2 linked regions of the Macaca fascicularis genome follow. The protein of the gene in region 1 purifies or fractionates together with the protein of each later gene. This does not show direct contact. Links are inferred from orthologs where the notes say so. Each region holds a gene or a part of one and is shown on either strand. Other genes may lie near its edges.

Region 1 (3,500 bases):
CGAAGGCCCAGAAAACAAGCAGAGGTAGAATCTGAAAGGAGAAAGTGTAACGTGAGAACTGGTGGAGAAACCCCATAGGGAGACAAGTTCTCACCAGCCCGTCTCCCCACCCCGCCTGCCTGGACCCTGGTGACCCACACCCCAACACTCCTCTGTACCACTGAGTGGCCTGAAAGGGCTATGCCACTACCCTCCCTCCTGCAGCCCAGGCAGCACACCAGCCCCCAGCGCTCACTTCTTTGCTTTGGCACTGTTAGGGTAGTCCACCACCATGCCACCGGAGAAGCCCGCCTTTGTGGCCTGGGTTGTGATCAGCTCCAACTGAAGAAAGAAAGGCAGTGGGTCATGCAGCGGAGGCGAGAGGAGCAGACAGCTTTACCTCCCTCCCCTCCTTCAGAAACCAGTCTGCCTCAGGACGAATCCTGCCTGGGAGAACTTAAGGTCGCTGTAAGCCAGGTAGAGAAAAGTGCAGGCATGGCCCACACCTCGCTCAGGAGAATTACGGAACAAAGCTACTCCCCTCATTCTCACTTTCCAGCACAGGGACCCAGCTCTCCACTCAAGTTTAGGAAGGAGATGGCCACAATTGGAAGCCAGACTCATTCATGTTATTAGTCAGGGACAGCTCTTCACTTATCTTTCAACATCTACATCCTGCTCCGCCATTCCTTAATTATACATCACACAACAGACAACTGTCGGTGCCCTCTCCCCCTTCCTAAATGGCATTCACTTATTTGGTTATGGAAATTAGTCGTATCATCTTATCTATAATACCATGTCATCTGCCAAGGGAAGACATACCACCCCACCTCCGCAAATGCCACCCCCTTAGGATATCAGGTCATCAAATGTGCCATCAGGGGCCACACTAGGGTGCATGTTTTCTCCTTTTCCCGCCAATCTGCATAAGGTTCTTTGTCGCTTCCCCAGGACAGCTTACCTGTTGAGTCTCCCCGCTCCCCTGCACACCCAGTAGCCAAGGGACTCACCTGCTCTGAGTTCTCAGGGTATAGCTGCAGGACAGCTCGGGATCCCCGGACCTGAAAGAAACAGGAACATCACTGTCTTACAAATGACCACATCAGCTTAGGGCCTGGACACCCTCCCTTCCTTCATTCACCGAGTATTTCCTGAGTTTCCATTATGGATGAGGCACCTCTGTTAGGGCTGGGGATAGTCATGAACAAGAGATCAACCTGAACTTTGGAGCTCACATTTTAGTAGGGGAGGCAACTCATTCACAGTAGCAATTTTTCCTTTGTTCCAAAAAGAGGAATTGGACAAAGTGACAGTTTCCTTTCGGTTCAGTTTACTTTCGGTTCCAAAAGGTCTGTTTCAGATGGACACTTGAGCAGAGATTTGAATGGAGTGAGGAGCTGGCTGTTTAAACGTAGAGGGGAAGAGCCTTCCAGCAGGGAGAAGAGGAAACATAAAGGCCCTCGGAACTACAAAATTAAGCCAGTACGCCAGGAGGAAAACTCTCATGACACACAAGACCAGTGACCAGATCGGCAGGGGCAGTCCACCCCACGCAAGACCAGCGGCCAGATCGGCAGGAGGAGTCCACTCCATGAAAGACCAGCGGCCAGAGCGGCAGGGGCAGTCCACCCCACACAAGACCAGCGGCCAGATCGGCAGGAGGAGTCCACTCCATGAAAGACCAGCGGCCAGAACGGCAGGGGCAGTCCACCCCACGCAAGACCAGTGGCCAGATCGGCAGGGGCAGTCCACCCCACGCAAGACCAGTGGCCAGATCGGCAGGAGGAGTTCACTCCATGAAAGACCAGCGGCCAGATCGGCAGGAGGAGTCCACTCCATGAAAGACCAGCGGCCAGATCGGCAGGGGCAGTCCACCCCACACAAGACCAGTGGCCAGATCGGCAGGGGCAGTCCACCCCACGCAAGACCAGTGGCCAGATCGGCAGGAGGAGTTCACTCCATGAAAGACCAGCGGCCAGATCAGCAGGAGGAGTCCATTCCATGAAAGACCAGCGGCCAGCCGTCGGCAGGAGCAGTCCACCCCAGGAAAACTAGGGGTGGGCTGGACCAGGCTAAGGAGGCAAAAACCACTCAGATCCTTCAAAACGGACTCATTTTTAAGCTGGCACAGTGGCTTACACCTATAATTCCATCACTTTGGGAGGCTGATGCAGGAGGATTGCTTGAAGCCAGGAGTTTAACACCAGCCTGGGCAACATAGCTAGACACCATCTCTAAAAAAAAAGAAAGTAAAAAATTAGCCTGGCATGGTGGTGTGTGCCTGTAGCCCAAGCTACTTGAGAAGCTGAGACCAAGATTTCGAGGGCGCACTGAGCTACCATCATACCACTGCACTCCATCCCAGGCAACAGAGCAAAAGTCTGTCTCAAAAAACAAGTAAGATTTAAAAAGAACTCATTTTTAGGACCTAAAATCTCAGACTATCATCTAATCCTAGTGAACAACTGAAATTAACATCATTAGTTAAAAAGGCAAGATAAAGCTAATAGAGGCTCTCTCTGCGGTAAATAACTATCCTGTTCCCCATCCGAGGAAAAGGATCAGAATCAGGTGGAGGGAGAAGTGAGGAGTCAGAAGCATGTGGGCACTTTGGAAGGTACCCCTCTGGATGGTCTCAACACGACAGCTCTTGTCCTCACTCTGCTCAGTCCATGCCCCCAAACCAACTTCTGATCCCCAAACCAACTTCTCATTAAAACTCAGAGTAATAGACATAGGAATACCAATCAACAGAAGTAGGCCCTATTACAAGTTACTAAATTGGTCTCCGATTTTGCCATCAGTGACTTCTGGGTTTGATTAGCGTATATCAGTCCACTGAGCTTGAACTTCTTTAGGCTGAGAACCTGGACAGAAGCAACCACAGTAAGGTCCTGCGGTCCCATATGAGTAGCGTTCCCATCATGGGACACCTCAATTTCCTCACTCTACCTGCAGGGCTACGGAGGGACAGGCAGCTAACCCAGATGGGGAGAAGATCTTATACTCACGAGAACAGAAAAAAGAGAAGCAAAAAAGCAGTACAGGCGCTTGGCAGGGTTTTCAGACTTCTTGTTAGCATTACACAGCCACTGCACAGCAGAAATGCTAAAAAGGAACGGACCTAGTCAGGCAAGGGAGCAATCCACATTGCTCCCCTCACCGCTTCAAGCTTCTCGACATCATCCGTCTTGGATCTCCAAGAGAAACCCCTCCTCCCACAGCTTCCCTTCTTAGAAAGTGCAGGTTCAGGCCACGTACAGTGGCTCACGCCCTGTAATCCCAGCATTTTCTGAGGCCAAGACAAAATTGCCTGAGGCCAGGAGTTCAAAACCAGCCTGGACAACATAGCAAGACCCCATCTCTACTCAAAAGTATTTTAAAGTTTAAAAATTTAAAGACAAAGAAAAAAGTGCAGGTCCACTGCAGGTCATGATTCTACAACACTGGGAAAATAGGACATACAGAAGGACAGCATTCATGTCCCTCAGTCAGTCCCAGAAACCTTTCCTCAACCT
Region 2 (2,700 bases), on another chromosome or scaffold:
TTGCAAGCCATAACGTGCCCCCAGAGTGTAGGGGGCCTTGCGGAAGCCATAGGGGGCTGCAGGGGATGTGTGGGAGGCAGAAGCCTATCTCAGGGAGGGAAGGGGATGGAGGCCACAGTCTCCCAGTGGGTGATGCTTTTGCTGCTGCTTAATCCTACCCCCTCTTCAGAGCAGAGTGGGACTTGGAGAGCAAAGGCCCATACCCCTTCGCTCCTCCTCTCATCATTTGCATTGGGCATTAGTGCCCCCCCTTGAAGCAATAACTCCAAGCAGGCTCCAGCCCCTGGACCCCTGGGGTGGCCAGAGCTTCCCCATCAGCTCCCATCCAGCCTCCTCAGGGGGTAGGAGAGCACTGCCTCTATGCCCTGCAGAGCAATAACACTATATTTATTTTTGGGTTTGGCCAGGGAGGCGCAGGGACATGGGGCAAGCCAGGGCCCAGAGCCCTTGGCTGTACAGAGACTCTATTTTAATGTATATTTGCTGCAAAGAGAAACCGCTTTTGGTTTTGAACCTTTAATGAGAAAAAAATATATAATGTCGAGCTCAAGAACACTGTGTGTTTGGTGTCATTGGGTCAAGGGTTGGGGATATACACGGCAGAATTTGGAAACGGTATACATCAACAAAAACATTAGTCATAACAAGAAAAACTGGCGCCTGGCACAATCAACTCTCAGTTTCCTCTTCACTCAGCAGCATGTTGGGGATCCCGCGGCTGATGGGGAACATACGTCCAGACTCCGGGCACTGCAGGGTGCCCTCTATCACTTCCACCTGCGGGCGGGGAGGGACAGAGCTGAGCACTGGCGGCCTCAGTGAGGGAGGCAGGTGGCCCAGGAAGCAAGTGATGGGCCGCTTCTCACCTCCAGCAGCAGATGGTGCATAGTCCTCAGAAACTCTTCATTCTCCTCATATCCCTCAACCGGCCCTTTAGGCACCTGGATCAGGCGCAACTGTGGGCAAGAGGCGAAATTATCTCCGGGCATCCCGAACTCCCGCCTCAGCCCGGCTGAGGTGTGCCCGCCCCGCACTCCCCGGGATATGCTCGGGCGGGGTAAGGATCCTCACATTATCGGCCGCTTCCAGGAACGCCGCCCACTCCACCTTAGGTATCATACGCGCCACGAAGTTGGGGTTGAACTCCACAGGGCAGATACGGACCTCAGTGGCCTGGCAGGGCGGAGGAGTTTAGGCAAGCACTGGACCCTGGCCCACCATCCCACCCGAAAAGGGAAGCCCGCCGTGGTACCTGGAGGCGCAGGGGGAAGCCACGGGACCCCACCCCCCGCACATGCGAGCTCAGCAGATTGTGGGTGAGCAGTTTCATATCGCCGAACAGGCTCTCGTCAGGCCGGAACCGGAAAGAGGGCGTCCTCCGCTTCGTCACTTCCGGGGATGCTCCACTCGATGCTATTGGTTGGCCAGGAGAACCGGAAGTGGCGAACTTACTGGAAATTCTCGTGCTTGCGGGAGCTGAGCTAGGTAAGTGAAAGACCTGTCGGGTCACGCGCCACTACCGGAAGCGTCTCAGCAGGAGGTTCCTACAGCGCACGCCCAGCTTTTTTTTTTTTTTTGCACAAATCCGTCGTATCATGCAAATCATATGCAAAATAGCTGCAATGCAGGGGCTCTCGTTGAATGCAAAATAAACATGTTTTACTCCTACACAGGCGCCTAACACCGTCGTCTTCTGTACCCCGCTTTCGGCTAAGGGGCAGAAATACTGCCCTATCTGTAAATTAGACCCGTGGAAGCCGAGCGGCACCTCATTCTTATATGCAAATTAGCTGCCCCAATGCCGAAAGCTCTGCCCAATTTGTAATTGCGTCTGCTGTCCAGCTAGCCCCCAAGGCAAATGAGGCGAGGGTCCCGGAAGCTCTGTTACACGCGTGGCCGCTCGCGCCTGCGCAGTGGAGGCGGCCCAGGCCCGCCTTCCGCAGGGTGTCGCAGCAGTGCCTCCAGCCGTGCCCCGCCTGCTGCGGTGGCCCCAGCTAGGGGGCGGAGTGAAAGTGGTCTTAGGGCGGGTATGGGACTAGCCGGCGTGTGCGTCCTGAGACGCTCAGCGGGCTATATACTCGGTGGGGCCGCCGGTCAGTCTGTGGCAGCGACAGCAGCAGCAAGACGGCGAAGTGAAGGAGGGTGGGCGTCTGGCGGGGTCCGCAGTTTCAGCAGAACCGCTGCAGCCATGGCCCCGATCAAGGTGACCGCTGGCCCGGCCGGGCCTGACATCCCCCACTACCCCCATGCCAACCCCCGTCGCGCTGGTCTGGGAATATCGCCTTATTTCCTGCCTGCCAGACCCCTCCCCGCCGGCCGCCCCGCTCATCCCTTCAGAAGGCCCTCGTGGCTGCCCACCCTTCTCGCCAATCGTGGGGACCTCACCTCCCGGGGCAGTTCCGAGGCATTGTTTCTTTTTTTTTTTTTTTTTTGAGATGGAGTCCCTCTGTGTCGCCCAGGCTGGAGTGCAGTGTCGCAATCTCTGCTTACTGCAATCTCCGCCTCCCGGGTTGAAGCGATTCTACTGCCTCAGCCTCCTGAGTAGGTGGGACTACAGGTGGGAGCCACCACGGCCGGCTACTGTATTTTTAGTAGAGACGGACGGGGTTTCACCCTGTTGTTCAGACTGGTCTGGAACTCCTGACCTCAGGTGAACCGCCCGCCTCGGCCTCCCGAAGTGCTAGGATTACAGGTGTGAGC

The links. Proteins that work in one complex are often made in the same cells at the same time.
Region 2: the proteins of BUD23 (region 1) and TRMT112 purify together in Homo sapiens (affinity purification with mass spectrometry; 5 studies listed by BioGRID and IntAct, counting the BioPlex papers as one, with this or other methods). This does not show direct contact. The link is inferred for Macaca fascicularis from reciprocal best matches to the Homo sapiens genes BUD23 and TRMT112.

Annotation. Positions count from the first base shown.
Region 1 is NC_088377.1:52,562,753-52,566,252, reverse strand, and holds part of BUD23 (18S rRNA (guanine-N(7))-methyltransferase), read right to left. Parts: intron 3,091-3,500; coding exon 2,994-3,090; intron 1,044-2,993; coding exon 993-1,043; intron 322-992; coding exon 236-321; intron 32-235; coding exon 1-31.
Region 2 is NC_088388.1:10,077,411-10,080,110, reverse strand, and holds TRMT112 (multifunctional methyltransferase subunit TRM112-like protein), read right to left. Parts: upstream 1,369-2,700; 5' UTR 1,331-1,368; coding exon 1,253-1,330; intron 1,174-1,252; coding exon 1,072-1,173; intron 957-1,071; coding exon 867-956; intron 778-866; coding exon 670-777; 3' UTR 501-669; downstream 1-500. Other genes in the region: PRDX5 (peroxiredoxin-5, mitochondrial), read left to right, coding at 2,030-2,203. UniProt on the Homo sapiens protein: Acts as an activator of both rRNA/tRNA and protein methyltransferases. Together with methyltransferase BUD23, methylates the N(7) position of a guanine in 18S rRNA.